Linked DNA regions of Danio rerio. The protein of the gene in region 2 binds, or shares a complex with, the protein of the main gene of each other region. Links are inferred from orthologs where the notes say so. Each region holds a gene or a part of one and is shown on either strand. Other genes may lie near its edges. The genes, in order: gtf2e1, gtf2e2, gtf2a1, gtf2f1, polr2f and ercc2.

The links.
Region 1: the proteins of gtf2e2 (region 2) and gtf2e1 are in contact, whole or in part, in a crystal structure (PDB 5GPY), measured with the Homo sapiens proteins. The link is inferred for Danio rerio from reciprocal best matches to the Homo sapiens genes GTF2E2 and GTF2E1. Residues at the interface, in NP_002086.1 of Homo sapiens: Asp159, Gln160, Arg161, Gly162, Leu163, Gly164, Gly165, Leu167, Leu190, Val192, Asn193, Arg194, Pro195, Ile200, Phe202, Cys208, Gln209, Phe210, Ser211, Val212, Asp213, Glu215, Phe216, Gln217, Leu219, Trp220, Arg221, Val223, Thr224, Val225; in NP_005504.2 of Homo sapiens: Arg16, Lys19, Tyr20, Val21, Arg23, Gly24, Phe25, Tyr26, Ile28, Glu29, Leu32, Arg39, Leu51, Leu52, Lys53, Phe54, Asp55, Gln58, Gly68, Asp69, Lys70, Phe71, Lys73, Thr98, Asn101, Val102, Val103, Lys104, Tyr105, Lys106.
Region 3: gtf2e2 (region 2) and gtf2a1 share a complex: the UniProt entries of both Homo sapiens proteins name them as parts of the TBP-based Pol II pre-initiation complex. The link is inferred for Danio rerio from reciprocal best matches to the Homo sapiens genes GTF2E2 and GTF2A1.
Region 4: gtf2e2 (region 2) and gtf2f1 share a complex: the UniProt entries of both Homo sapiens proteins name them as parts of the TBP-based Pol II pre-initiation complex. The link is inferred for Danio rerio from reciprocal best matches to the Homo sapiens genes GTF2E2 and GTF2F1.
Region 5: gtf2e2 (region 2) and polr2f share a complex: the UniProt entries of both Homo sapiens proteins name them as parts of the TBP-based Pol II pre-initiation complex. The link is inferred for Danio rerio from reciprocal best matches to the Homo sapiens genes GTF2E2 and POLR2F.
Region 6: gtf2e2 (region 2) and ercc2 share a complex: the UniProt entries of both Homo sapiens proteins name them as parts of the TBP-based Pol II pre-initiation complex. The link is inferred for Danio rerio from reciprocal best matches to the Homo sapiens genes GTF2E2 and ERCC2.

The regions. Positions count from the first base shown.
Region 1 is NC_133184.1:29,364,376-29,366,706, forward strand, and holds the end of gtf2e1 (general transcription factor IIE subunit 1), read right to left. Parts: intron 1,533-2,331; coding exon 1,075-1,532; 3' UTR 501-1,074; downstream 1-500.
Region 2 is NC_133176.1:24,433,625-24,437,785, forward strand, and holds the start of gtf2e2 (transcription initiation factor IIE subunit beta), read left to right. Parts: upstream 1-1,361; 5' UTR 1,362-1,502; intron 1,503-4,161. UniProt on the Homo sapiens protein: Recruits TFIIH to the initiation complex and stimulates the RNA polymerase II C-terminal domain kinase and DNA-dependent ATPase activities of TFIIH. Both TFIIH and TFIIE are required for promoter clearance by RNA polymerase.
Region 3 is NC_133195.1:17,659,255-17,662,754, forward strand, and holds part of gtf2a1 (transcription initiation factor IIA subunit 1), read right to left. Parts: intron 3,442-3,500; coding exon 3,352-3,441; intron 1,090-3,351; coding exon 982-1,089; 3' UTR 1-981. UniProt on the Homo sapiens protein: TFIIA is a component of the transcription machinery of RNA polymerase II and plays an important role in transcriptional activation. TFIIA in a complex with TBP mediates transcriptional activity.
Region 4 is NC_133178.1:32,749,405-32,751,637, reverse strand, and holds the end of gtf2f1 (general transcription factor IIF subunit 1), read left to right. Parts: intron 1-1,020; coding exon 1,021-1,225; 3' UTR 1,226-1,733; downstream 1,734-2,233. Other genes in the region: alkbh7 (alpha-ketoglutarate-dependent dioxygenase alkB homolog 7, mitochondrial), read right to left, coding at 2,035-2,155. UniProt on the Homo sapiens protein: TFIIF is a general transcription initiation factor that binds to RNA polymerase II and helps to recruit it to the initiation complex in collaboration with TFIIB. It promotes transcription elongation.
Region 5 is NC_133178.1:1,274,214-1,277,988, reverse strand, and holds the end of polr2f (DNA-directed RNA polymerases I, II, and III subunit RPABC2), read left to right. Parts: intron 1-1,523; coding exon 1,524-1,595; intron 1,596-2,945; coding exon 2,946-3,036; 3' UTR 3,037-3,275; downstream 3,276-3,775. UniProt on the Homo sapiens protein: DNA-dependent RNA polymerase catalyzes the transcription of DNA into RNA using the four ribonucleoside triphosphates as substrates.
Region 6 is NC_133190.1:26,156,361-26,160,648, reverse strand, and holds the start of ercc2 (general transcription and DNA repair factor IIH helicase subunit XPD), read left to right. Parts: upstream 1-1,488; 5' UTR 1,489-1,675; coding exon 1,676-1,680; intron 1,681-1,815; coding exon 1,816-1,915; intron 1,916-3,540; coding exon 3,541-3,618; intron 3,619-3,810; coding exon 3,811-3,873; intron 3,874-3,991; coding exon 3,992-4,105; intron 4,106-4,195; coding exon 4,196-4,288. UniProt on the Homo sapiens protein: ATP-dependent 5'-3' DNA helicase. Component of the general transcription and DNA repair factor IIH (TFIIH) core complex, not absolutely essential for minimal transcription in vitro.

The DNA.
Region 1 (2,331 bases), on a different chromosome or scaffold from region 2:
CGCTTTTCTCTTTGGCTGCACGTCAACGCACCACAGATTTGATCTCCCGCACAGTCTCATCCAAGCATCATCTCATCCGCAGCTGCACCAAAGCACATCCCCAGAGACTCTGTTCCCAATTCAATTACATGATCACACCATGAGAGGTCAATTCAAACATTTTTTTGGACACGGTCACTGCGAAAGCAACCTGTTTTTCCATCCTAGACAAAATAAACCATTCTGTGAATACATTTGTGTGAAATAACAGTTTATGAAACTAATATTCATCTTTCACAAACATATATTTATGAACACTGTCAGTTTTCACACTCAGCTTTTTATTACAGTAAATGGTCTAACAAACTGAAAAAACATCCTTTTTTCTACTTAAGGACAAACAAATTGAAGTGAATAATGTCCACTGAGGCAGAGATCAGAGAAAAAAGTGCTCATTTCTGCTGTGAAAGGAAAGCAATCACACTTTAAACAAACATCTCTCATTAAATCTCATTCAATATCGCGTTAAGGAAGCCAGCCGCATGAAGATCGTTTGTCTTTCCTTTCAAACTGCGAGTCTTGCTAAATACTGCTGAGGAAAAAGAGCCATTAAAAATAACATGAAAGCAAGAAGATGAGAAAACGCCTTGGTAGGTAGCTTTGAGCAAATACCACAGTTTGTCACTTTCTGTCATTCAAAAGTCATTCGTGTCAGAAAATCCTTGGTTTAAAGGAGGTTAAACCGTCTCAGAGGTTACTGCGGCAACACTGTTATATAAATGGAAGTCTCCGAATCTGACAAAACGGCAAACAAACTGGAAAGCTAGCAATGTGAGTGTTTGCCAATGTATGATACTCTTGTTTACAACCGTGATACTGCGGTATCATTGGCACCGGAGTAGTTTTGTATGGGAATATGGCAGGGGAGTGAGAAAGAACAAGAGTTAACTGGTAAAACACTACATTTCTCAACTCTGGCACACCGCACAACACCATTAGATATGAAGTGTGCAAAGGAAACAGATTGTATCCTTGTATCCTGTGGGGAAAAAAGTGAGATACAGACAGAACGAGAAGCTAGCCAGCATGATGAACTTAGAAGTACATGTCCTGGAAGAGGTTTTGGCCCATCTCAATATACGCCTCTTTCTCCTGAGCGCTCATCTGTTCCACCAGCTCTGGCCTCTGGCTTACTTCCCTGTAAGAGAAGGGTCTTCCTCCTACCATAACCACAGGGTCATCTCCGACCTCTTCAAACTCATCGTCATCATCCTCGTCCTCCTCGTCTTGTTTTCCTGGCCGCATGGATGTAGTGCTGTGCAACGTGTGGGCTGGAGCCTGTGGTGGAGAGTCTTCGTCCGACTCGCTCGTATCGCTGTCAGAGTCACTGGCGTTTGCGGCTGGAACAGTTGGTCTGGAGACGGCGGAACCTCCTGGACCAGCTCCACTCCTCTTCTCGTGAATGAGGAGAGCCAGCATCACCTCCTCATTCTCATCCTGCGCGGCTCCCCTTCCAGTAATTCCCTCCTGGGTTACTACAGAGTCCTCGCCAGCTGGTGTGAGAAAAAAATTGGAAGAAAAATGACGACAATTTCAGATGCTTCTTTGTTTGTAGAATTCCAATTTTTGCTACACTTTCTAAATCCAATTCCTTTCTGAAGCTCTGCTATAGCTTTGGGTAAGAAACAGGCTGTAATTTCAGAGCTTTTCAAAAGACAATCTTCCCTTCGCTCCAAGTCCAATTCTCAAATCTTTCCAAAGTCTCAAAACTTTCAGACCAGCTACTGATGATGAACACAAGAATCAATAATGTTACATTTGTTTGCTCATTTGTAGATTCACACGGGATCAATATTAAGAAATTATCATTTATCACCCCTTATTTTTTTAAGTATAACACAGTTTATTATATTTCTAATCTATGTGGTACTCTTATTTTGGAAAACTGGGCATGTTTTAAGGCAGTGATTGGCAAAGTTGGGGTCGCTTGGTGGTTTCCAAAAGTCTAACAAATTTGATTAAACTTTTAAAATTACCATTGTTAATCCATAACTTACAGAAGATAATAAAGTTACATTAAAAATACAAATACAAAATACAAAAATAAAAAGAATTTCCATTTTTTTTCATTGGATTGCAACCCTGAGGGTTTTTACATTAGATTAATGACATATGCTGTTACTTTTGCTTGTTACATTCCGCCCACCGGTCTCATTAGGTAAGGTTAATATTAAATAATAATAAAATTATATGTTTGTTAGACTGTTGCACATGTTTGTGGTGTCATTATGATTGTGTTTATGTAGGCTTTTTAGTGTGTGTGAGCCGTTGCGTGCATTGTTTGTATGATTA
Region 2 (4,161 bases):
TATATATTATATTTATAATGGCTAATAATTCTGACTTTAACTAATATAAAATGAACCCGTGGATATATATCCATGCTTTTATGCTAAACAACCAAAATTGATGCAATGAACAAACTTTTTTATGTCAGTTAAACTACCTGGGAATTGAACCCATGACACTGGAATTGCTTAAAATAAGCTTGTTAGATAAATTTATTTGATTGATTTTCATATATTATATTAATACATTATACTTTTAAAGAAACCAAAAGTTAATGTTATACATTTATGCGCTTCTTGATATAATTACATATTCAATTTTAGTTTTTAAAGAGTTAAATTGTTGGAATGTGCTAGTTGCAGGAATAATGTGCTGACAAAAAGTTGAGTATATGATCAATTGAATTCTACCAAACAGATTGTTTTTTTTTTTTTTTTACAAGAATGAAAGACAATGATTCATCATCTGTTTGTATGCCTGTATAAAAACTGGCCCTGTAAGACTGCTCTCTGAGCAACCAGGATGGAACCTGTATTTCTTCTGTATTAGTCCCTTGCTGCAAGAACATCTAGGAAAATGAATCTTCCTGAGCCTTGTAATAATTTTTGACCCTGACAAGCTTGACTGTCATCGGAAATAATTTCCTTCTTACCTGGTTGGCTTGCTCAGTGAAGGACTCAGTCATTTTAACTGTAACATTGGCATTGGCTTCTTCATTGGCACTGAGATCAATAGAGGCAACCCACTGAAAACCACAAACACAAACATGTTCCTTATTGACATATTACAGGCCAGAAGAAATGCATGAATCGATATAGTTAATGAGAAACACATAACATTGTTTTGAGTAAATTAATTATTAATAGTACTACTAAAACACGTGAAGCGTGTCTGATGACACTGAAAGGGGGGGAAATAGTTATTTTCAATAATGTGTCTTGTCTTCTGGGTTTATACAACTTACCCAGTGTTTAGCTTTGAAATACTGCACACATGCCGAGCCCAGAGCTCCTTTTCCCCCGTAAACAATCACTTTCTGTGCATCTGTAGCTGCCATTCTGTCTTCACGAGCACGAGACCGTGTTATGCAAAGAAATCAGAACATGCGCCTCCTACTGGAAAAGATGAGAAGAGCACACATAATTGTATTAGGATGGGTTGCGTATGGGTATAAGCTTAAAATAGACTTACCTTTTTTTAAAAATAATGTTTTTCGAGATTAATGTTTGAAAATAATCCATTAATGCTAATAAATATAAATGGGAACATCGCAACACATGTAAAACGATTTCTGACCAGCAGGTGGCAAAGGTCGTCTTTGCAAACTGCGCGACTACAAACAAAGAAGAAGAACACTTGTCTTCCGGAGGAAATACATGTAGTTGTATAGCATAGCTAGCGTTCTATGACAAGCTTTTCATTTTGCTTTGTCAGTAAGCTGATTGCGTATGATAATTGGAAATAATATTTAACATTCCTCAAAACTCTTTCTCTCGGAGAGAGAAGGCAGTGACAGATTCAGGTAACGTAATGCTCACAGTTTCTTTCTTTGTGGATGTATTGCTTCATGTTTGATGTGTTTAGGATGTTTCCAGTTGATACCATTTGTGATTTTAGACGATTAGTTAAGTTTCTAGGTGTTAGATGTTCACTGTGCAGTTCACTATGGAAGTATTAGCTGTCAATAAGTAGGCTTATAAATCTCAGTATGTTAGACGAGGCTAAACCTCCAACTGACCTCATAGATCTCAACATGAGCAATGTGCTTTAATATCTAAGTTAAATATGAGGAATAAAATTAACATCTGTCTATATGTGTGTCTATAAATGAAACACCAAATGTCCTTAAAATCTTTGAAAAGTGTTACATTTATTAGTGGAGACTGAATTAATAGCAGCCCCTGTTATCTAAACATACATGGGGGGAAAACTGATCACATAATCATTTACTGTAATCTATAGAAGTTAATAATAGTAATGATTAAGAAATATAAGGAACATATCACGTGCTATAGAGGTAAAGTCGGTTTTTTATTCGCACATTCGGACTTCCTCCTTAATATAATTTCATAAAAGTACTATTTGCAAACTCTAAATAGCGAAATCATATTAGCAGCCAATGATTATCAAAGTACATGTTCACAGTCAAATAAACAGTGTTCAAGTTTTCAAATTACACTTGCAGTTTATTTCAGACTGAATATTCAAGGTGCCGTGGTAAACAATGTAGGGAGTGTGTCACAAATTGCCACTGAATGAATGTGTAAATATAAAACCAAGTTTACCTTAATATATATGCTGTGGCTATATAATATGTTCATTTAAAAGTTATTGTTTAATTGAGCACTCATTCGTGGTTTTGTTTTCTTAGGTTTCATCAGTGGTGGAAAGACTACTGAAAAAATATACTCAAGTAAAAGTATCATTACTTGACCAAAGAAATGTAGTGCAAGTAGAGTAAAAATATCTGTTGTAAATATTAAATATGAGTAAAAAGTAGTCCTTTTAAATGTCCTCAAGAGTAGTGAGTATTACGCTGTTAAAAGCTGATGTATTTACCGGTACATGTAATTTGTAAATGTGTGTGTGTGTGTGTGTGAGAAAACATAACATTCTGTAGTGCATTTAGTGACAGTTTAACCAGTTAAATTCCATGGAAAGTGGTTTTGTTTGAAAGTGTAGAAGCTATATTTTATGCACATATGCATCACTTTGGTTTTTATTCTACTGTAAAAAAGTTATTTACACTTAATATCATCTCAAAAACATAGCAAGAATCAGATGCTTTGTTTCTAGTGAAGACTTAGAGAAACTTGTTCATGCTTTTATCAGCAGCAGGGTGGATTACTGTAATGGACTCCTCACTGGTCTTCCTAAAAAGACAGTCAGACAGTTGCAGCTCATCCAGAACGCTGCAGCCAGAATTCTAACCAGAACCAGGAAATCAGAGCACATCACACCTGTCCTCAGGTCTCTACACTGGCTGCCAGTTACATTCAGAATAGAGTTTAAAGTATTATTACTGGTCTATAAATCACTAAATGGCCTAGGACCTAAATACATCACAGATATGCTCACTGAATACAAACCTAACAGATCACTCAGATCATTAGGATCATATAAACTAGAAGTTCCAAGAGTTCAGTCAAAGCAGGGTGAATCGGCTTTTAGCCACTATGCCCCTCGCTGCTGGAATCAGCTTCCAGAAATGATCAGATGTGCTCCAACATTAGGCACATTCAAATCAAGACTGAAAACACATCTGTTTAGCTGTGCCTTTACTGAATGAGCACTGTGCTGCGTCCGACAGATTGCACTGTCGGACACAGATCATGTTTTTCTCTTCTTCTTCATTCTTTTATATCACATTTTACCTGTTTTTATGTTTTTTAATCAGTTTTATTATTTGTTTTTATTTTTATTTTTATTTTACTTGTTTCTTTTATTCTTGTTTATGTAAAGCACTTTGAATTGCCATTGTGTATGAAATGTGCTATATAAATAAACTTGCCTTGCCTTAAACATTGGTTCAATTTCATATTTTTCACAAGATTCATATATGACACAGGTACAAGTTATAGCTCAAATTAAATCTCTTGTCCGTGCTCATGAGGTTATAGCGTTCTTTTTAGTGAATTATATTCACATCAAACAGTTTTCGAATAAATCGCGGTATTTCCATGGCCCAGAAGTGAAAACAATACATTCATGATCAATAAGCAGCTCCAGATAGCACAGACAGCGGTCATCTCTTACCTTATGCTTTTTAGGGCCTTTCTCCTCTGTTTTTGAGGTGATGTGCATAAGTAATCCTTTTATATGTCCGACGTGGTCCAAACACAGTGAATTATGTTTGATCAAACAGAAGAATAGAGAAATATGAATACAATGATCGATCCCTGTGGCTTGTATAGCACCTCTCATCAGTTGGAATACAATAACTTTTTCATAGATTATGGTAAAGAGAGACATTTTTCTTTTTTTCCATGATTACAGACATGTGCAGGAACCACCAAAATTAATTTACTGCAACCTAGACCACACAGAACCTAAAAGGTACACTTTCAAATTTGAGTTTATAAAAAAAATACAAAAAGCAAATTTTTTTTTTTTTTTAGGTGTTTATTATAACACAGAAAACATTTATTACAGTTATTTTAAACACTTTTAAAGTGTTTCCT
Region 3 (3,500 bases), on a different chromosome or scaffold from region 2:
AGACTACGCAAGATAAAACAAGTACGGAGGGACTAAAACAAACCCTAGGGTAACTCCACAATGCACAGAACCACATGCGGAAATCCTCCTCAGGGCCAAAAAGGAGCACTTCTTTCATTAAGAGCACAGTTCGGTGTCTTTTCCCCCCCGAAATATGAACGCTGCCTGAGCTTCGGGAATAAATACGAACGACTAGAAATGCGTAAAATAAGCCTGACTGGGAGGAAAGTAGGAAGGGCGGCCTGATGGAGCACTTCATAGACACCAAACGCAGAAGATTGCACACAAAACACACCAAAGCACCCTGTGATGCATCAACTCCCAAAAACATGCATCAGACTGACAGAGCAGAGTTAGAAAAACCCATGACAGACATAAACACGCAAACAGCTTTGTGAGATCGACAACTTGCGCTCAACTTGCCTGCTTTCATTGGTATCTCTTTTGCTGAACATACAAAGGTCTAAAAACATGGCATCTATTAATGGGAATTGTTGGAACGCAGCTCTTGCTGGATTGTTTTAGTGTTTGTATGAGGCGACCAATAGTGATTCGCTTTACACAGGATTCAGATTTACGGAAATCACCAAACACGTACGATTGCTGTGAAAAGGCTGTTGACAAATCTGTTTACTTAAGATGGCGTCTGACGCTAAAATCGGCTCCCTGCGCCTAACATTTTCATCTGAGGGGGCGTAGATGTTTTTGGAAAGGAGATATTATGGACTGAGTTTTTTTTTTTTTTTTACAGGTAAAAGAGTAGTCTTTTTAAAAAAGAAGGGGAAAAGAAAAAGAAATCTCATGGATGGCACAAGTTATTTGTGTGCAGAAATCACTCAAACAGCACAGTAGCATTGGGACGTTACTCTTCAGCACCCCAAGTGGGGAATCTCCTGAAATGTACAGTTTCAGGTCTCGATGTGTCTTGCCTTAAAAAGTAGGCAGTTTTTGGGTTTTTTGTTCTCTTGTCTTTCCCGCTTTTTACCACTCGGCGTCTCCGATGGCTTTGGAGAACACAAAATCCCGTCCGTTCAGATTCATGATGCCATCCTTCAGGTGAAATTTCCACTTGTTCTTACTTCTGTGAATCTGAAGCATAGATTAAGAAAAACAAAAATAAATTTCAGGGACTTTTGGACAGTGATTTCAACCCTTTCATGCGTATGATCACACCGGTGTGACTGCTAAAATTTAAATCTGATGGCGGGTGCTATAGCACTGGAAAAGGAGCGCAGCACTAATTATAAATCACAATTTACCTGTGCTTTCAAACAAATAACATTTCTTTTAGGTTTCAGACATTCAAATACACATAATTACAAGCAAAACAAACCAAGTAAAGTTTGTAAAATAGACGTGGATGTCTATGAAGACGGCAATAATAATTATATTTCAATATAACTGGACGATGTGCTTTATTCACCTAAGATACAAACTGTTTACATTACTAGAATATTTTCTTGGCAGAAAATTATTAATAAACATGACAAATCCAGCAGCGATCGGAAGTTAACGAGAAGTGTTAATATTATTTATCAAATCACACAATGTATTAATTGTATTTTATTAGCGTCTACCCCTCTCAACCCTAGACCCAAACCTCAAAGTTTGTAAAGTTAATGTAAAATAGTATTTGTTGTACAGTGTCAAAATTAAGCTATATTGAAACAAGTTTACACAGCTGAATCCCATCTAGACTTCACCCTCTCCTGCAGCATGGTGAAGTCTAGATGGGATACAGCAGAGGATACTCAATATAGCATAATCTAATAAAATACAATTGTATTAGATTACGCTATATTGATGAGTATACTCAGCTGTATCCCATCTAGCTAATAAACTGCACTCAATGCGGAATTTAATAAATATAAATACTTCTCGTTAACGTCCGATCGCAGCAGTATCCTTTCTAGCAACAACAGCAGCACCATTCTATCTCATATTTGACAATCGGAGGATCAGAAATTTGTCAATATTTACAGAAAAGGGCAAAAAGACTTTTCACTGTGCAATGACTAATCTTGCTAATAAAATCATGCAATCCAAAAGTTTGTCAATTGAACATTTTCAATAATGTAATATGCCATAGTGTTGACAGCGATAATTCACTCAAAAAAAAAAAAAAAAAAACTTAACTCACTTTAAAGTGGCTCTACACCTTTCGAGTTTCTTGTGTTGAACACAAAAGATGACATTGAAGAAAGCTGAAAACCTATAACCATTGACCATAAAAAAAAAAAAAACATAGAAATCAAGGGTTACAGGTTTCCAGCTTTTTTTAAACGATCCTCTGTTTTTAACAGAAAAATGAAAGTCAAAGAGATTTAAAACATGTTAAACAGGTCCTGAAAATGGAAAATCTTCCCCTGCTCTGCACGTTTCCTAATGCTGGTTTTCTGTGTGCGCAATCTGTCACTTACACAGAAACTCACATGCTCAGCAGACCCACTGAGACGCGCCTTTTCCGTCAAAATGCATCCGACCATAGTTTAAGTCTCGTAAAATGTCCAGGATTCAGGTTTTACTTTCGCATTTTAAAGTTGTCATTATTTGTATGCGTTTTTGCATTACCATTTCGCAGCTGAATGAATGTGCGCGCACAGCCGCGAGAGAAACATTAAATGATTATTCACATAATAAATGTCTCAGATAAACTTTATACTCGGAGAGAACAAAATGCCATCTATAATGGCTGCAAAATATTTGTACACCACTAGAAATGGTTAATCAAGTAATTTGCCTTATTTAAATAATCTACACTTTTTATTCTAGTAGTTATTATAATTTTTTGCAATAATGTCTATTTTATTTATTTAAATTAATTTCTCATTTGCTGCATGTTTTATTAATTTAATAACTTTAACCCACTGAAAAGAAAAGGTGTATGACAGTGTCATTCTAAATAAAAATCAAGGTAAAAAGCACATTATTTTTTGTTTGTCACATGATGTTGACCATTTATGTGCTGTGGGGAAAAGGGTTTTTTCCAATCAGGCTACCACTGCAAGTATATTTTAAACCTGTGGGAAGCCCTGCACAGAGCTGATCTTACGAGGAAATGTAACTATTTCACATTTTGTAAGTTTAGTTCTGTATAAGTTCAGTCGTATGAAAATGTACTATTTGTAAAAGGAGGCCCCCCCCAGGGGTCCGGCACACTTGAAAACTGATCTAAAATGAGTTTGACACCCCTGCTTTAAGGACTTAGGGTTATAATTTCTATATAAACATATATGCCAAATATTTGATAGATTTTCTAATAGTTTTTGCACTTAAATTAATTAATGTAAGAATATAAATGTGTGCAAGCTATCAAAACAGATTAAAGATATGTGATAAGCAAACACTCACTTTGTCATACTGGCAAACCACTACGTTCTCTGTGTCGAAGAGCTCCTGATCTTCCTCATCACTGACATCATCACCACTGTTTAACGGCTCCTGAAATAAAGACAGATTATTTAAAGACAAATTATGACTGGACTAAACCAGATGAGTTC
Region 4 (2,233 bases), on a different chromosome or scaffold from region 2:
CTAGCTATGTTTCCTTCCAAAAATGTGAATTAACTTTATTCGCACACCTTTTATGCGATATTCTAGTTTTGTGCATAAAGCAAAGTTTCCATCCAACAAGTCAAACAAATCAAAATTGTCACTTCCTAATTAACTGGCGTCAAATATCAAAAGTAAAAGGAACTTAATTTCCTGAGGTATGAGAAGCTGTGTGAATCTTTTACTTAATTAAATAAATGACTTGTGCCTCAGAAGATGATGCTGACACGCAGTTAACGCACAGCACAGACACTCTTAGCAGTTCTGGAGGTAATATAATAACACTAATACTGAATTGGTTAGGGTGTTTCAGACTGACCAAAATAACATTTCATGTTTTACAGTGTGCTAAGCCTGCTGGTTTGTCGACTCACACACATCTTTTATCATCACATAATCAAAATCAATGACTTTTTTTAATGCGCATACTAAAATTTGTTTAGTGAAAGTCTTTATACGCATTTTTTCTTATCGAATAAAAAGTTATTTTTATTTAACTCTTTAACTTCTTATCTTGGCGTTTTTTATTTTTGGCGTTTTTTACGTTTTTTATTTTATGTGCATGTTGGATATGCGTATAAATAAAAAAAAAAAGTGGATGGAAACATAGTTACTGACACATTTATTTCACAGTCAGCACTGTAAAGCTGCTTCCGTTTAACCAATAACTTTTGTAAGGGACTAAATAAATGTGAGCTGATTGGAGGGTCAGAGTTACATTGCTATGACTATATTTACACATCCAATTGCTACTCCCAGCAATGTTGGAAATGTTTTGCTGAGTATATTGCTGAATGGAAAAAGCAAAGAATGAAATACTTAGCTTCAATTATATCAAGTCTTTAACAGTATGTCACTGTGTATTAGACCTACTTAATGTAGCAACACATTACACCAACTTTTTCCTTTCAAATTTTCAAAAGCACTGCCAGAGTTACTGACCATTTTAACTCTTGATTATTTCAATATTGTAAATAAAATCCTTTTCTCTCTCCCCTTTAGTGATGTGCTGCTGACAGAGGATGCGGTGCGCAGGTATCTCATCAGAAAGCCCATGACCACTAAAGACCTGCTGAAGAAGTTCCAGACTAAACGCACAGGCCTCAGCAGCGAGCAGACGGTCAATGTGCTCGCGCAGATCTTAAAGAGGCTCAATCCAGAGAGGAAGAACATCAATGACAAGATGCACTTCTACCTCACTGAGTGAAACTCTGAGCATCCATCACCAGCAGCCTCGCCTTCAGGAATGCAGCTCATTTTGGTGAACACCTTCTTTGTTTTGCTGTCATTTTGCTTTTAACAGTCCAGTGTTTATTTACAGTAGTCATTAAACTGCTGCTCATTGAGTTAAAGCTGAGAATACCGGAGGTCAAGAGTAAAATGACAAAGAAACGTTGCAAAGAAAGATAGCACAGTGAGTTTTTGTATATTGTAGATATGGGAAATGTGTGTTTGTAAATTTCACATTTATGCATCTTAATGAGAAGCTGGTTAATGTTTTTCCAAGAAAGAAATTAAATAAGGACTCAGAAAATGTGAAGATGTGGCTTTTATTACACACTCATTTGTTCTCATAGATTTTTTTTTTAACTGGCTTAACATTGTGCTGATTTTAAAAAAAAAAACTGTAAAAGGTACCACATTTTGCTGGCGCTTGCCCTTCGTAGTATGTTAAATCTGTTCTGAAATAAATACCTATTTGTTTTTATTTGAAATTTGATGCTCTCTATGCAATAATGATTTATTATTTGAGAGGAAAGTTAATAATGGATACAAAAATTGACATTGTACATAGAAGCAGTTGACTGGTCTCATCTTTTTTCATACTCCATTTATATGATAAATTACATGAATCTGATCTATTCCCTTCATAAATTCTCCAGAGGCTTTAGTTCCCCCCAAATAGTCTCTTTTTTGTGGTTATTCAAGGAAAAATACATCAGACTGAAAATTGAATCAACAGAGGTCTATTTGGTTTTCAAGACAGGTGCTATGATCAGTCCAGCCTCAGTTGTTTTACATGGGCAGGTTTCGGCATATCACAGAGATGCGGCGATGACGTGGAACCTTCTGTCCAGAGAAAAAGGACTCTTCATCTTTTAAGATTTCATGGGTGAATTTAAATCGTGCATCATCCCTGTTGATTTAAAGTAGTAGTGTTTTAGAGGTAAAATTACTTCATATTCTATGATAACAGAAATTTTATTTAGTTCTC
Region 5 (3,775 bases), on a different chromosome or scaffold from region 2:
GTTTACACTAGTACGTTTTAGTTTGAAAATACATACATTTTGCTATGGTTACGCCATCCGTCCACACTACACTGGAGTTTTAGAGCCCTAAAAATGGAGCGTTTTGGAAACGCTGACGATGCCATTTTCATTTTAATACACTGCTGCTCTGTCTCAGTTTGGATGAGGGAAAATGGAGACATCTGAAAGCAAAGACAGGGCTGCAGACATTCGCCTTTCTGATTGGGGCTTTTCCTCAGTATTAAGTAGCCTAAACACAGTTCAGTCCTGCATCCTCTCCTTGTAAGTTCAGATTTTACAAGTTTAATACGAAAAACAGACTCCCGAGGACACGTCAGGCAAATCTTCAAAATTCCTCAGAGATTTTGCTCCATATTGTCATGATAGCATCACACAGTTGCTGCAGATTTGTCGGCTGCACATCCATGATGCCAATCTCCCGTTCCACCACATCCCAAAGCTGCTCTATTGGATTGAGCTCTGGTGACTGTGGAGGCCATTTGAGTACAGTGAACTCATCGTCATGTTCAAGAAACCAGTCTGAGATGATTGAGCTTTATGACATGCTGCGTTATCCTGCTGAAAGTAGCCATCAGAAGATGGAGACACTGTGCTCATAAAGGGATGGACATGGTCAGCAGCAATTCTCAGGTAGGCTGTGGCGTTGATGCTCAATTGGTACTAATGGACCCAAAGAAAATCTCCCCCACACCATTACACCACCACCACCAGCCTGAACCGCTGATACAAGGCAGGATGATCCATGCTTTCATGTTGTTGAGGCCAAATTCTGCCCCGAGCATCCGAATGTGTCAACAGGAATGGAGACTCATCAGAGCAGGCAACGTTTCTCCAATCTTCTATTGTCCAGTTTTACTCGCTTTGACCTGGAGCAGATCGTCTTGACCATTTTTACTCTACATGCCTGAATCCATTGAATTGCTGCCATGTGATTGGCTGATTAGAAATTTGTGTGAACGAGCAGTTGGACAGGTGTACCTAACAAAGTGGTCAGGGAGTATTTTGCATCACTAAAACTGATTGAGCTCATGTCCATGTGTTGTGCAATCAGTGGATTTATTGATTATTGTGACAGGCCTGATTGCAATGCTATTTTAATTTTTTTCCCACTTGACAACCAGCAATTAATTCTGTCAAATGCAGTCAGTCTTTTACTCTTATATGCTCAACACAGCATCTTTCTGTCTACAGGACAATTGTTTTTCTGTACATCATGGTAATTCAGCTTTACAGTCTGTAAAAGTCAGATTTTAATATTTGGCTTTAGAGGAAACCCTGTTGGACCTAATTTTAATGATCTAGTGCTTTACACAAATAGTTTTCAGTCTGCTTTATATTTAATCTGTTCATGTTCAACTTATTCATGATGATTTTATTGCTCTGTAATTTCATTCGAGCTGGATGATACAGTGATTCACATTTTGAGATGATTTAATGGTCATGTTTAGTGTTAGCAAATAATGCTGCGTTACTCATCCGTGACATCACCTTCTGTGTGACAGGATGTGTGCGCCGGTGATGGTGGAGCTGGAGGGAGAGACGGATCCACTGCAAATCGCAATGAAAGAGCTCAAGTAAGATGAAACACATCAGAAAGACTCAACCTTTATGACTATTACAACCTGTAATTATGACAGATTCTCCATTGGTTAATATGATTTATTGTAGTATATTAGTAATATATGTATTACTATTTTAAACTGACTATCATTTGTTTTGAAGGCAGGTTATTGTATAATGATGGTTTGTTCTGGAGACTATCGAAAAAATATAGCTTAAGGGGCTAATAATATTGAAAAAAAATGGTGTTTAAAAAATTAAAAAACTGCTTTTATTCTAGCCAAAATAAAACAAATAAGACTTTCTCCAGAAGAACAAATATTATCAGACACACTGTGAACATTTCCTGAATCTGTTCAACATAATTTGGGAAATATTTAAAAAATATATATATAATAATAATAATTATTCAAATATGGCCTAATAATTCTGACTTCAACTGTATGTTGGCGTTTTAAACTATAACTAAGTCATTCATTCATGTAGATCCAGATATTGTAAAGAGTGCAAACTATAATGTAATGTAATATTATTTATATAAAAATGTTTTCATTTGCATAATCTTATTTACTTTTTTTCATTATCTTATTGTTTGCACAGATGTTTTTGGCAGGCATTCATATTTGACACTGTCCTACAACATAAAATGACAATATACATTTATATTTATAAAACATAAAGACATATAACCCCATTTCATTATTCATAAATGTATCATAAATAAATTACATGAAATTAAACCCGTAAATAAATAAAAGACACTTTACAAATTATAATTTTGACACCAGACATGATTAAATTGTCTATACTAGATGTTGAATTGGACATTGTAGGTTGACTCATTCACATTTACTGAATATTGAAGCACCACCTAAATGTAATTACTGCCAGGCTGCTCTTATAATAAAACATCAGATTAAATGCTAAATACCGTTATACAATATTTTGATAAGGGGAGTACTTTGATGGACATTTTTAAAAAGGTACCACCTGAAAGAATATTAAATTATTTATTAAAAATTTAACTGAAAAATCCTATTTAACTTTGAGTATATTTTTGTGTGAATTTTATTTATTTATATTTTATATATTTGTCTCAGTAACTTTTTATTGTAATAGGAATTTGTTTTTATCATGTAATGTTTTTATGTGTATCCATTTTGCCATGAAATGGCCAAAAGTTGCTGACGTGGAAATAAATAAATAATAAATAAATGTACTATATTTTAATATATGTAAAATAATAATGAGATGTCCTGTTTGAGATAACTGCATTATACACACCTTATTCATTAGATGAACACAAAAACATGCATTTCTGAAAACATTTATTTGTGTGTTTTAATCATATTTGTGTTTTTCAGGAGCAGGAAAATCCCCATTATCATCCGCCGGTATCTGCCTGACGGGAGTTATGAGGACTGGGGCTGTGATGAACTCATCATTACTGACTGAGACACACACACAGACATGCACACACGTCATGATCTACATCTGATCTGTGTGATTTCAGCACTGGGTTACAGTGTGCAGGTGTCTTTATGTTCAGCAGTTGTTGTGTTTGTCCACAGGAGGGCAGTAGGAACACACTGAAACACCAGAGAAAAGAGGAAGATTTCACTCACAATGTCATAATTTAATGTTCATTTTTGTTTTTATTGTTGTGCAGAATTAAACATTTTTGTAGAAAAGAATACTCTGTGCTCTTGTGTTTCTGTGACATTATTACTGGATCCATGTTGAATGCCAAGCATTTTACTTTGTACTAACAATTGGTTGCAAACCTGGTCAGTTTAATGTCAGTTTTATTAAAATAATTAGATTTCAAAGAATAAATGTTTTTTATTTATGTGTAGTGCTTAATCAATGGTGAAGTTTAGGATTTTAAAAATATATATTTTACATTACACATACAGAATAGTATGCAGTATTTGTTTTTGTTTTTTTAGTCAGTGAGCTGGTTTTAAATTATACTTGATGCTGAAATAAAAATTAGCTTGTACTGTATCTGTGGCATATTGTTTTTAAAAATCGTTTCCAAATACCGTATTTCATCCTCCATTTTATTATAGCAGATGCACATTTTATATATTTTTAAAGAATTTATTAACTTGTATGATCATTGTACTACAAGTGTGTTATAGTTCATTTATTGTTATGATTTAATATGTGAAGAAAACTTCGCGCCATAAGT
Region 6 (4,288 bases), on a different chromosome or scaffold from region 2:
TTTGTTTGTTTTTATATTTGATGTTACTTATTAAGCTGCGTTTTACAGGGAAGGGAATTGGGATTTTGGCTCTGTAGTTATATCAGGAAGTTTGTCATAAAGGTTTAGAAAGTATAGTTTTATTCTGTTGAGGTGAATATTGTCAAAGAATGACCCAAAATGGATTTATACAAATATTTTAATATGTCTAAACTGTGGTCTTTACCCGGCCTATGAGTACGAAGGAAATCACTTCATGAAGATGAATCTTTGTTAGGGTGAAATACTGTATATTTTATTGCATTGTAATATATGATTTAAAAATGTTTATGTAAATAAAATATATTATATAAAATATGCCCCTGTATTAATAATGAAAAATGTTCTCATTTCTTTGGTTCTTTCTCTTTTTTCCCCTCATATGTATTAAAAAATGTCATTTTAGAAGGGGGGCTTAGTAGTAGTGGCTCAGTGGTTAGCATTGTCGCCTCACAGCAAGAAGGTCGCTGGTTCGAAGCACAGCTGGGTCAGTTGGCATTTCTGTGTGGAATTTGCATGTTCTTCTCTTGTTCGCGTGGGTTTCCTCCACAGCAAGGTTATTATAGTTTTGGATTTTTTATTGGTTTTAGTTTTTATTTTGTTTTGACTTTTTGTTTTCAAAATCAGTTTTAATTAGTTTTTAGAGGTAGATTTACTAGTTTTTATTAGTTTCCATATTTTATAGTTGCTTAGTTTTGTTTATTTATTTATTTATTTTTGCACATTGGGATATTTGCTATGTACAAGATTCAAAATCAATAAATATTGTACAAAATACAATAAATATTGTAAAATAAAAACTCAACAATAATTTTTTGAAACATGTTTTCACAGGACACATGACCACTATCATCTACCACTACCACCTACTCATCTTCAAATTCAAATACAACAGCCCACAAGATAGCCTTAAGTAAAATCGTGTGCATGGCTGCCTCTAAGGTTAGACACACAGTAGTGATGGGAAGTTCAGATCTTTAATTCATTCCGCTTTAGCAACCTCTGATGAATAAAGGGACTAAGCTGAAGGAAAATGAATGAATGTAAGTTAAGTGTACTCTACTTGCTTTTCTCTTTTCTGTTTGTTTTTATTTTTTTCTTGTTTGTTTACAATGCACTCTAATTGTACCTGCTTTTCGTTTTTCTTAGCTTTTTTCATTCTTTTTTCTTTGTTTATTTAAAATACAGTATAATTTAGTGTAATCTGTGATAGGCTATATTTTTAATTGATCAAATTTTACTTTTCATGAAAAAAATACTGTTGTTTGTTTTAAAAAATCAGTCATATTTGTAGTGAAGAAAATTACAACCTACACAATTTTAGCGAAAGTTTAGTGCGGACTTCTTTTCTATATATATATTTTTTGATTAACCCCAATGGTGACAAATGTACTTCCGTCAAGGGATTGACATGACGTGCGTGTCATCCAATGAGCTGACAGGATAAGGCGGGCTTTGAAGCGAACAACCAATCAATTAAGCAAAATAGATTACGCACTTTCACTGCGACAGCGTTTTACGCTACCGAGATCGCTTGTGTACCTCGATAGAAGTCTTTTTGTGTAATGCGTTCATGACAGTTATATTAATGTGTGGAAACATACAAAACTGAATACGAGAAACACTTAAGTGCTGCAGAGAAACAATACCAGCAAACATGAAGTAAGTAAACGGTAAATTTTAACTGTTAACGTTAGCATTGCTGCAAATCTGCAGACTGGTAATGGCCCAAACCGCTGTTCATTTAACACAAGTTTTGTTTTTCCTCTAACGTTAATGTCTATTTGATCCTATTAGGCTGAATATCGACGGGTTATTAGTCTACTTTCCGTATGACTACATCTATCCCGAACAATACTCGTATATGCTTGAGCTGAAGAGGACGCTGGATGCAAAGGTATTTATACACAGACACTCATACATTAAACTAATGTTGTATCATGTAACAACATAGACCATTTTCAGGGATGTAAACCAAAACAATGGTCTCAATGTATTTCATGTTTTCCATTTGTAATGTCCATACTTTCTGAGATTTTAAAAAGAGCCATATATTGTAAAATAATGTCATGATAGCGGTTTTAACATTAAATTATGATTTAATTGTCTCATGTTACAGTTATGAAATAGTTTGAAACAAGCAGAAAATGTTCATGGGCCAAAGATATCACCACATTGAAGTGATCTATATTAACATTGTGGCTGGATGTTTTGACATAGGCCAAAAGATGCATCTATAGTTGATACACAACTAATTTAAAGTGTATTTTTTGTTCCTTCTTACAGCGTTATTTTTACAATTGAGGTAAAGTTGGTTTTATATTAGCACATTCGTTCAGTGACATGCTCCCTTTATTGTTTACCATGGTAATTTGAATATTCAGAGTGAAATCCTATTAAAGTATGACTTCAAAACAACATTAGCTATATGTTTTTAGGCAGTGAACAATGTTGTACTTTGATAGTCATGGTAATAAGATTTCCCTATTTAGAGTTTGCTAAAATATTTTTCTAAAAATATGATATTAGGGAAAAAGACTGAATGTGTGGGTATAAAACCAACTTTACTGTTTTAATTGAGATAAAGTTGGTTTTATACTCACACATTTGTTCAGTGACATGCTCCCTTTTTGTTTACCATGGTACTTTGAATATTTGGTCTGCAATCCTAGGTAAGTATGACTTCAAAACAACATTAGCAATCTTTTTTTGTATAGTGAAATGTGGTCTTAAGGTTTGCTGGTTTAAGAGTTGGTTCAGGTAAAAAGTGTAATTATAAATGTACTTACAGAATTTAATTACAGATGTAATTACATGCAGATATTTAATCAAGCATAAGTACAATGTAAAATCATATATTTACTCATTAAGTAAAGTGTAACGAATGATTCAATTTCAGTGTAAGTTCATGTTAGTAAAGGCCACTTAATATAAAGTGGGACCGAAAAATTTTCTGAAAATATTTTTAGAGAGAAAGACTGAATGTGTGAATATAAAACCAGCTTTACTCTAATATTTTTATTGAGGTAAAGTTGGTTTTATATTCGCATAATCGTTCCGTGACATCCTCCCTTTATTTTTTACCATGGTACTTTGAATATTTGGTCTAAAATCCTATGTAAGTATGACTTCAAAACAATCTTTTTTGTACAGTGAACAGTGTTGTACTTTAAAAGTCATTGGATGCTATTATGGTTTCCCTATAAATATGAATTTGCAAAGAATATTTTTCTGAAATGTATATTATTAGGGAGAAAGACCAAATGTGTGGATTTATAGGTTATCATGATGCTACTGCCCTAATTTAATTGCCCCTGGTGGGAATAATAAAGTTCACCACATCATTTTTAGTCTGATTATGAATGCATTTTTTGTAATCTCGCATTATCTGAGATGTTGGATGGGATGTTTATGTTAAACAGAGCCATGACTGAGTGAAAGTAAAAAGCAATAAAAAACAAAAAAAAATTGTTTGTCTTATGTATAGTTGTTTCATATTTTGTTTTTATTATGTGTGTAAAGGGTCATGGAGTTCTGGAGATGCCCTCAGGAACAGGAAAAACTATTTCTCTTCTTTCGCTCATCGTTGCTTACCAGAAGGTGACGGATTTTGATCGACGATTAAATATTTGAATACTTTATTAAATGACAGTCTGATGGCTTTAAAAATATCCCTGATTTATATATATAATTATATATATATATATATATATATATATATATATATATATATATATATATATATATATATATATATATATATATATATATATAATGTTTAATCTCTTACAGACTTACCCTTTAGAAGTCACCAAGCTCGTGTACTGCTCTCGCACGGTGCCTGAGATAGAGAAGGTATTTTGTTGACTGACTTGATATAGATGTTTATTACCTTTTATACATTTTTTTTTGCTTTCTAAATACACATGTCGTATGTTAATTTTTATTTTATGCATCTTTCATTTACCTGCAGGTTGTGGAGGAGCTAAGGAAACTGATGGATTATTACTCAAAGCAAACGGGAGTAAAAAACGACTTCCTCGCCCTTGCACTTTCCTCGAGGAAAAACCTGTGCATTCATCCTGAGGTAGAGGCCGCTGAATGGGCAGATTTGTCTGTGATTTCAGTAAAATCTGTGCTGTGATCTTATTAAAAAGTACTGAATGTGTGACTACAGGTGAGCTCTCTGCGTTTTGGAAAAGAAGTAGATGGAAAATGTCACAGTCTGACAGCATCGTATATTCGAGCGCAGCATCAGAGTAACCCAAAT